Linked DNA regions of Drosophila melanogaster. The protein of the gene in region 1 purifies or fractionates together with the protein of each later gene. This does not show direct contact. Each region holds a gene or a part of one and is shown on either strand. Other genes may lie near its edges.

What was found. The genes of interacting proteins can lie anywhere in the genome.
Region 2: the proteins of CG15445 (region 1) and vis purify together in Drosophila melanogaster (affinity purification with mass spectrometry, with the first as the bait; 2 studies listed by BioGRID). This does not show direct contact.

What each region holds. Positions count from the first base shown.
Region 1 is NC_004354.4:21,115,341-21,120,984, forward strand, and holds CG15445 (uncharacterized protein), read left to right. Parts: upstream 1-1,820; 5' UTR 1,821-2,064; exon of another isoform or gene 2,065-2,122; 5' UTR 2,123-2,155; coding exon 2,156-2,275; intron 2,276-2,975; coding exon 2,976-3,431; intron 3,432-3,521; coding exon 3,522-4,322; exon of another isoform or gene 4,323-4,407; intron 4,408-4,438; coding exon 4,439-4,918; 3' UTR 4,919-5,104; downstream 5,105-5,644. Other genes in the region: unc (uncoordinated), read right to left, coding at 116-400, 694-1,003.
Region 2 is NT_033778.4:12,507,388-12,512,186, forward strand, and holds vis (vismay), read right to left. Parts: upstream 3,229-4,799; 5' UTR 3,053-3,228; coding exon 2,938-3,052; intron 2,880-2,937; coding exon 2,479-2,879; coding exon of another isoform or gene 2,392-2,478; intron 2,333-2,391; coding exon 2,184-2,332; intron 2,084-2,183; coding exon 1,697-2,083; intron 1,608-1,696; coding exon 1,506-1,607; intron 1,447-1,505; coding exon 1,325-1,446; intron 1,259-1,324; coding exon 1,079-1,258; intron 1,001-1,078; coding exon 882-1,000; 3' UTR 509-881; downstream 1-508. Other genes in the region: achi (achintya), read right to left, coding at 4,684-4,799.

The sequences.
Region 1 (5,644 bases):
CTGGAACGGGTACATTTATGGTTAGATCGATTAATAAATTAAAAAGGGGGTTTTCAATAAACTTTGAGATGCCAAATAGTAAAATATCTTTCATTAGTTTGATTAGCAAACCCACCGAGTGCCGTATTATTGAAGCAGTGAATGAGCTCCACCCGCAGGTGAGAGTGCATCTCCCGGGCAATCCCCTCCTGGTCCAGCCACTGGCGGAACTTCACCTCGAACTCCTGCTCCGACATCGCGGCCAGTTCCTCGAGCTGTTGCCTCAGCCGTTCCGCCCTGGCATCGGAGTCATCCTGCTCCTCAATCTGATCCTGAGGAATAGGTACGTGCTTTCTGGTAGGCCTTCCTGTGCGGTATCCGTGTGCTCCAACCTCCGGGGGCAATGATGATCCCCGCGTTACTGAACACAAAATGGGATTATCAGTGAATATGAATCGCTATTAAGTTCGTAAAGGTTTATTGTACTGAATATTTTAATTTGAAAAGATTATTTTTCGAACAAATTTGTGTACGTCGGAGTATAAAGATTGCTGGTTTCTTAGAGTTATAATAATAATAATAAAAATAGTTATAATAATAATATTAATAATAAAAATAATTATTATAATAATAATAATAATAGTTATAATAATAATAATACTTATAATAATAATAATAAAAATATTAATATTATTATAAAAATAATAGGCCCACCTCTAGTTATATTTGATGGTCCGCACGGTCCTGGTCTGCCCAGTCCGGTTGCTTGGAGTCGCTCCCTGGACTGCGTCATTCTCCGCCTGGCGGGATCGCCGTCGGTGCTGATCCTTCGATTATGCTGGCGCACCCGCTGTGTCGCCGACGCCGCTGTGGCCCGCTCCTGCTTAATCTGCTCCTCCCGCTCCCGCTTTGCGGCCTCGTGCTTCCGCTCCCGCTCGCAAGGCATGCCGATGCCGCCCACATCCCGCTGCTTCGCCCTGAACGATAACGTTGTCGTGCTCGCCGGCACGTGGCGAACCTTCATGCCGTCCTGAAGGAACTCGAGGCTCGGATGGGATCGAGAGTTGGTCTGCGTATGCTCGGATAGAACCTCTGACCGCCGCTTACATGCGCCGCGTTTGAGTAACTGAACTTTCCAGGTAAAACGAGCACGAGCGCAAGACACTCACCACCAACAGCGAAATGTGACAGGTGCGACGGAGCCTGCCCTGCCACCTGGGAACTGAGTGAAATTGGGGAGGAGGTCAACTCGATCGTCGGGGGTTGGTCCTCCTAAAGGCGTCAGCTGTGTTGCCTATGTGAAGCGTGCTCTAAAAATTAAGTGAAATATATGACAACTGAGTTCTATGAAATGGTATTCTAAGCAAAAGCTTATTTATCATAAGTAATTGCTCACTAATACTTATAACGGCGGCAGTATTTACTGCCGAGCCCATATTAAAACAGCAATACTTCTTGTGGAAGCGTGTATTTGGTGTATTTTTCACAATAATAATATTTTGAATTTTAATTCAAAACAGTTCCGCTTTAAAGTTGGCAGTTGACTATCGATAGATAATTGTCCGCAAAACAGCTGATTGCTAAGTAGTAAGTGCATCAGCCGTACTGACGGTGAAACTGAAATATGAGTTTCTTGCGTTAAATGGTATAGAAATAATATAATATAAATCAACAAGCACAGCTGTGTTTGCCAATGCGTTTTTATAAAAAACCAAATTTGAAGACTTTGACTATTAACGGGCAGAACGTTCATGTCAGTCAGCTTTTGCAAGCGTTTCGCTGTGGCTGACAGATGGCCGAGTGCTGCAAGAGCCGATAGCTATCGAGTTGCAGTTGTTGTGTCAAACGACAAAAAAGACCCAATTGCGGTGATTCCACCAGGCAGAGCTTATCCCATACGAAGACGCAGCACAGTTCACATTAAATAAATTTCCGTAAATAGTTCTTATTTGTCACCCGCCCAAAATTAAAGTCTACTCCACTGCACCCAACCCCGCGATTATCAACGACTGCGCATCGTTCTTTGTTGTTTCGTGTAGAAACACATGTGCAAGGAAGAAGAAGAACCAGAACATCACATCACTCGTAAATAGTAAATATCTAGAGCATGCCCGATCCTTTGTGACGCGTCAGTTTCAGCCAGTTCGCCACAATTTTTGCCAAGTCATCGTCGAAAATGTCACAAAACGACAACCTACTCATCCAGATCCGCGCCCTTCTCCAGTCCGATGGCGAGAAGCTGTGGGAGGAGCCCTACTACTCCGAAGATCTTGGTAGCATCGAGGGAGCACTAGAAGTACGTACTATATGCCCACCACCCCACACCTAAATGCCTTCCAGTCAGTGGTCGGGGAAATGACAAGAATGCCTGAAATACGGTTGGCAATATAGAAATATTATATTCAAAATGCATATATTATATATATATATATATATATATATTATATATTTATTTGTTAGTTCTTTTCACATTTGAAGAAGTAAGAAGCTAGTTTCGACAAGCCGTAACTTATATACACCTTCAGCTAAGTTCATATTATTAACACTTATTTTAGTTTGATTAGTTTGATCATATGATATTATTGTCCAATTAAAAATACTTAAAAAAAAAACAACATGACATTGCACAAACGAATCTTTTAAATTCCTATTATACTTTAATAATTCTGAATTACAAGAGTAACGACAAAGATATTATTTAGTTTCCTTATATAGGTTTTTGATCTGTTTCGCTTCGACTTATTTATAACGCCTAGAATAAAAATAAGATTTTAAACCGATAGATTTGTTGGCGTGTGAAAATGTGATTGCTTTCTTGAATTATTATTTATTTTTCAATAAATAGAGGTTGAGGGATTTTAAAAATAAAGTAAGACCAATAGTAGTCAAAAGAATAGCACATTACCAGCATTCATACTCAGGAACTCAGTAGCTTTGGATTAATATAATATATAATATTTTATTCTATAATAAGATGTGTATCCATTTCATTAAAGAACCTGGCGCAGAAGTACTCCGGCATGTTGGGCATCGATATAGGTCGCTGCAAGTTCTTTTTGACCGAGCTGCAGGAAAATGCTCTCCGTACGCTGGCCGCCCGACGTGAGTTCAGCACCACAGGAATTGCCACGTTGAAGGTTCGCCGCGTTGGCGAGCACAGCGGTGCCACAATGGTGGAAGTGAAGTGCAGCTTGGACATCGTGGGCTCCGAACTCCAGGCATGCATAGCGAAGAAACTGGAAGTGCCGAATGCTGCGCACGTCAAGTGCATCGCTGCCGGCAAAGTGGTGTCCGCCAATGCCACTTTGGCCGACCAGCAGTTGAAGAACAACCAGCAGTTGATTGTCATTGTGGGCGATGGGGATAATTCTGGCGAAGCCCTGTACGAAAGGATCAATCGCATCAAGGCCGATGTGGAGGCGGTGGTGTCCTCGAAGAATAACCTAATAGAGGTGAGTAAATCGGAAGGAAAGTTGCTTAGGTTGTTGTTTAGAAGGTTTTTTAAATCACACCACTTGTTTGTATTTTCGTGTCATGCCCAGATGGAGGATCAGAATGGCAGCCAAGTGTATTTGCCGCCTTCCGAGCATAAAGCCCTGCTCATGGGTTTGGGATTCTGTGAGAAGGCCCGTGCGGCCATGAATCGCAAGCATTTTGAGGAGGCTCTGCTCCTGCTTTTGGAGGCCGACGAGCATTTTTCTACCTGTGGCTCAAAGTTTCTAGAGTCCGTGGATAACTATGCTTTGCTGAACCTCGACATAGTGTGGTGCTATTTTTGCCTGAAGAACGTTACCCAGCTCCCGGATGCTGAGCATCGCTTGGCCCGCTGCAGTCGCAATTTCGGCATCAGCTATGGCGACAATTTGGAGAGGCTGTACTCCTTGAAGGGCAAGGACTGTCCCGAGAGGGCTTTAATTATGCGGCTTAAGTTGCTCCAGGGCGTGATCTTCTTCCACCAGAATCTTCGCAATCAGGCATTTGAGTGCTTCGAAGCGGCTAAAACTCTGCTAAATGAACTAAAGATCAACAACGACCAACTGGCTCTCCTGGTCGATATGGGCTTCGAGCCCTCCGAGGCTCGTATGGCCCTGCGCTCCTGCAAGGGCGGCACCGCCGTCGAACAGGCTGTTCAGTTTATTCACGAGCGTCGTCAGCAGCTCAAGAATGCACGCATGAAATATAAAGCGTCCGAGCGTGCTATGGAGCGCCGCCTGAAGCGCTCCAATTCCAAAGATTGCACCTGGGTGAATCCCCGCAGTGTCTGCAGCCTTGCTGACATGGGATTCGAGAGCGGACTGGCCACTATCGCCTTGCAGCGCTCTAATAATGATATCCTCCAAGCGGTAAGTGTGGCCAAGAATATATTCAATGACATGAATTGATCAGTATGTTTTAACTATAATCTCATGGATGTCACGTGTTTGTAAACTATAAAATAATAGAAATATTTTTTTCTTAGGTGGAACTGCTGCAGACAGAATCGGACGAACTTACTGGTGCTTCGCCATGGTTTCCGGTCACCGTAGACACGACCAAACTGGCTCAGCTTCTGCAACTGGGATTCAACGAGAACGACTCGCGCGTGGCCCTACAGAATGCATCAAATAACATGGAAGAGGCCATCGAGAGTCTGATGTGCGCCATAGAGAGCGAGGAGGAGCTGAAAGCGATTTTAAAGCACGTTGGGCGTTTGGCCGAAAATGGTGGGCAAAATCTTGACGGCCCCTCTACTTCGAACGCCTCCGGGCAGACGCAAGTTGCTTTGCCAGCGCCCATTATCGAAGCTGTTATCAATCATGCTCGCGTCGAGATTGAAACGTACAAGGCCTACGAGCGCTTTAACTCCGACCTCAAACTGAGCGACCTGGAATACCTGGACTTGCCACTTATCCAGGAGGAGAAGATCCTGACTGAGTATTTCAATATGCTGCAGCAGTAGCTTGTATTTGACTTGCCTTTTTTATATCTATACAAAAAAATATAGAAACCCGAAACCGGTTGTCAAGATAACTGTAATCATGACTTGTCTATATTGCAAATCGTAGTCTTATAATGGCACTTAAGTGGCATTCAGCTCCCCTCCCGGCTGCTGTTTGTCCAACTAGGCAAATAGTAAAATATAGAGATTTATAAGTACATGCCTTCTATTGACAACTGCAAAATGTGATTGCGCCGAGCCAGCGGGAGAATTCACCTTTTGGAGCCACCTGAAACTTGTTAGCGCCTCTGGTCATTGCTTATTTTTTTTTTATCGTTTGTTTTTTTTTTTGTCGCTTGACTCTCGACCCCGGCTCGGACGGCGGCGCTTGATTGGGTTCAGTCGTGACCTTGTCGAGGCCAAAGGGCGCCGCTCACTAAGCTCATCCCGTCGACGAATTGAGCGGAACTTACACGATTTGCTGTAAGTATTTGCTTTGCTTAGCAAAGAATTTATTTATTTATTCAAGTAGCACCAAGACTAAATATTATAAGTCAACTAATTGGTTTTCTATATGTATGTACATACATATGTGTAAAATAGTAATTTTCTATTTATACACGTTACTCGCAGAGTGAATAGTATGTAAAATGTTGTCTTGTACAAATTGGCACGGTGCCATAGGATTAAAGTATCCTGCGGCAAATGTGTTGCAAACATGTGTTTTTACATCCTTGTTGGGCGAAA
Region 2 (4,799 bases), on another chromosome or scaffold:
TATATACAACCGAATATTATACTGGGAAATACCAAAACATACTGGGACGTCAAATGAAGGTAAATATAAGAATGTGCGTCAAATTGGTATTAATGGATATAAATAAATAAAAATGCAACAATGTACGAAAGCATATCAAGAAATTATACCAAACATGCAATTGAAAAATCGGCTCCTACTCTTTGAAGAGTATCTCCACTCGCAGAGCTTGTAACACGCTAGACCACCATAAATAGTTTACGTAGTGACGAATCAGACACCCTCCGAAGGCCACTAACCATCATTCAGGAAAATGCTTTGATACTTAATTCGAAATATGTTTTCAAAGCATAATTGTATAAATGAAACATTAACTGTACCAATTTAGGAAAGAACAATTGTTTGGGGAAAACATCTATAGAATGGCAATTTAATGATTTACGTTGTAAAAGCGGTTTAAAACTTTTTTCTTAAACTTATCCAAAATTTATCAAAATATTAATAATTAGATAAAACACAGCAACATTTTATGGCAATGTGTATTTCAAATGCTTGTTTTTGTTTTATTTAAGTATCAGTAGTGTACACAATGTTAAGTTTAAAAGAGGCAGGTCCAAAACTAAGTCGATTTGTTTCTGAATTGACTTGGTGGAAAAGGTATTTGGGCGGTCGCATTGCGAATTGATTGCTTTGTACATTATGTTACTAACCTTACCTAATTAACACAATAACATGGGTTAGAGACAAATTTATGGGTCTAGTGCTGTTGGATTAAATTACTTAAATATATATATATATATATATATATATATATATATATATATATATATACATATTTGTATATACACGCTTCGGCACTTTGAGAAGTCTGGATCTGTTGCGTGGGTATTTGGTTTGAGGCTCTAGTCTCCCATGTAAACGAAATCGTCATCCTGGACGTCATCGTTTTGGCGCACAGCCATGGCAGTTTCCACTAGATAATAGAGACACTTGTACTTGCCCTCCTCATCTGAACTGGTGCCTAAGCGAGATTTTAAAATAAAATTATAAAAATGTTATAAAATAATTAAAAAGTTGAATAAAAACAGGTATAGGTTACCCTGCGATAGAGCAGATAATTGACTCTGGCCAGCTTCTGCTTCGGCACCGGTAAACACCTCGTCCGCCTGTAGATTGTCACCAATGTCCTGTTGATTGGAGTTGGTAGGATCGATTGTCTGGATTTCTGAGGCCTGTATTATATTCAGCTCGCTTTCAAAGTCTGTCAACTGTTGATTCACTTTAGGAGTAAAAGAGTTGGATATTACCAAAGAAACCGAGCTCTAAGTCTGCAAACTTCACTCACCGTCACGCTTCGCAGTCTGATTGCGATTCCAGATGGCGGTATTCTGAACAGATGCCTTAGAACCAGAGGTACCTGGATTATTGCCAGCCGAAGTGCTGACTTCCTCAGTCCCAAATACAGTTCTGGAATTGCAGAGGCCGAGATTACAATATTTTCTTAATACATCCACATAGCTACTTACTTTATAACGCTCTGCCAATCATGGGAGGTCTCGAAGCGTACTTCCTCCTCGCTGTTCGGCCCACAGGACTCGTATCCCTGTGCACTCTCTTCGCCTTCGGACCTGGGGGTAAAAGTAAAATCTTAGCACCGCCAGTCGCACTTGAGTAAGATTTAAGGCTCTGGATCAGTCAATGGGAGCAGAAGCTGTACCTAGGAGACACCACGATTCCGCCGTATGAATCCTTATAGCAGTACATGGTTTCTTGCTTATTCCCAGTCTTCTGCTTTGCTTGCTTGGCATTCTCCCTAGGACTCTTTGCAGCAACCGTCCGCGTTCTTACGCGCTTCGGAGGTCTTGGCTTTTCTTCGTCATCGAACTCTGGCGGCAGCTGGCCAAAAAGGCTGTATGGCAGTATGGATGTGGCAGGACTGGAGTTGGAGCTCGACCCACCAGCACCACCAGAGCCAACCGCCGAACCCCCAATGGCGGCAGCCTTGCGCATCTGATAGTTTTTAATTTTATCGATCATGGTTGCTTGAAGCGAGGAGTGAAGACTTTGAAAGCCCATCGGGTTGTTTGCAATGGCCTGCTGCCAGCTTGGAAGAGGAAAAGGAGTTTGGACGTAGGTGGGATGGGATAGGAGATAGAAGTGACTAACGCTAGGGAAGCAGGTCATAAAGACCGGTTACCAGTTACCTGTAGATGACACTGTCCTCGTACTCCGGCTCCATCTTGACCATTTGTCCGTTGGGGCCCTGCACATACTGTTCAAAGTTGGTCAGCACATTGGCGATGCCCTCGTGAATCTCACCGGCGCCATCCACCTCCTCTGTAGCGCCAACGACCTGGAGTCAAGCAATTTAGTAACTTCAGTGGTATAATGATTGACCAGAAGATAACACACCACTTCGGAAGCAGGACTTCCGTGTGCGGGATTCGGCCCAGTCAAGTTTGCGCCCAACGCACTTGATCTCGAACAGTTGGGGCTAACCTTTTTGCCACGTCGCGATATGGTGAAGTGCAGAGGATCGTTGCCCTCGCGCCTGATCATCTCGGGTAGAATGCGGCGACGGGCATTGATGAACCAGTTGCACACTTGGAGCACCGTCAGATTGGCCTCCTGGGACAGGGTGAACTTCTCCGCATCGCTCGGATAGGCGTTATAGCGGTGCTCATAAAGCCAACGCTTTAAAATCTTTACAGATGACTTGGGCAGATTTCCGCGACGTTTGCGCAGCGACCCATTAATGTCGACGTGGTGTTCACTGTCCACCATCATGTCGTGGTAGTTTTGCACCTGGTTGGCGCCTTGTTCGGTGCTCAGATCATTCCCAACGACGGCGTGAAGGGAATCCTGGTCCAAACTGGAGTCCGAGTGGAAACGGTCACGTCCTGGAGAAAAAAACGGCCATAAACAAGACTGATCTCAACCGGGATATAGGAAACTCACCCTCGTTGTTCAGCAGGCTCGCATGGACATGAGCCTCGTGCATCAGGTCCTTTATGTTCTGCCGTACATGGCGATCCAGGACCATGTTGACCTCCTCTTGTTCCGGCGAGATCATTGCAGCTCAGACTTAAGCTTCAGAAAACAGAAAATTCATTAAAACACAACCAGAATCGGTGTGCAAATATTGAAAGGAAAAGCACAGTAACTTTAATTACAATTTTTGCAAACAGAGAAAATTGACACTTTTTAGTTTCTTTAGGTGTTGTCACCACAGACTTTGAGATTCAACTAACTTTTCCCGAGGGCAGGCAAGTCATTCAGACACCAAAGTCATGGCCAACTAGGGTTCAAAAACAAATTTTTTCAATTGATTTTTAAAAATGGTTCTTTTCAATCGGTCTGCTTGTATCGAACGTATTAAAGTAAGTAATTAAGTACAGGAGAATTTTATAAATATTTAAAATTAATTAAGTTAGGGCCAACTATCGATAACTATCGCACAAACATTGCGCTTGCACACGAGAGACCATGAATATTTAGACAAATTCACTGCGCGCCCAAGTAACGGGCGTCTCGAAATGTACTTTTTACCTTATCCAAAATTTATAAAAATTTTGATTTGTAAAATTTAGACAAGCGCATTTATTTGGTCAAATGTAATATCATTTTGATTTCAGAAGATTTGTATGTTGGAGGTGCGATCGTCACTTGTTATACCCGTTACTCGTAGAGTAAAAAGGTATACTAGATTCGTTATAAAGTATGTAATAGCAGAGGGAAGCTTCTCCGACCATATAAAACACATATATTCTTGATCAGGATCAATACCCGAGTCGACCTGTCCGTCCGTCCGTCTGACTGTCCGTTCGTATGAAGTCAGGAACTATCACAAGTTTGTGGACCTATTTTGCCACGTCCACTCCAACGCTTTCAAACCGTACAAAATGCCACTCCCACACTTTTGAAAAATGAAAACTTTTTGCCACGCCCACTGTAACGCCCTAAAACAGCGCAAAACTCACGCCCTCATTTTTGAAAATTTTTGGATATTTCTTTTTTCCGAATTATCTATCAATACCCCAGAAAAATTATGAAATTTCTTGTTCACATTTTCACATATATGTACCGGGTATCTGATAGCCGGGGAACTCGAATATATCATTCTTTTTTTTTGTTCTATAGCTTTATAGTTAAAAATCGAATCATTTTGTTTTTGCGCCACTCTTTATTATCTGTGGTAACCAAAGTATTCCAATACATTTATAATATTTATAACAAAATTAATTTTGTCCTTCCACAAACGTTCTCATTTTATGTATGTATGTGTACATAATTACTAGATACCTTAAAAAAATGGCTCTATCAGCCAATTAGATAAAACACACCATCATTTTATGGCAATGTGTATTTCAAATGCTTGTTTATGTTTTATTTAAGTATCAGTAGTGTACATGTTAAGTTTAAAAGAGTCAGGTCCAAAACTAAGTCGATTTGTTTGTGAATTGACTTTGTGGAAAAAGGTATTTGGGCGGTCGCATTGCGAATTGATCTATAGCTTTGTACGTTATGTTAGTAACCTACTCAATTAACACAATAACATGGGGGTTATAGACAAATTTTTGGGTCTAGTGCTGTTCGATTAAATTACTTAAGTATATATATATATCTATATATACATATTTGTATATACACGCTTCGGCACTTTGGGAAGTCGGGATCTGTAGCGTGGGTATTTGGTTTGAGGCTCTAGTCTCCCATGTAAACGAAATCGTCATCCTGGACGTCATCGTTTTGGCGCACAGCCATGGCAGTTTCCACTAGATAATAGAGACACTTGTACTTGGCACGCTCATCTGGACTTG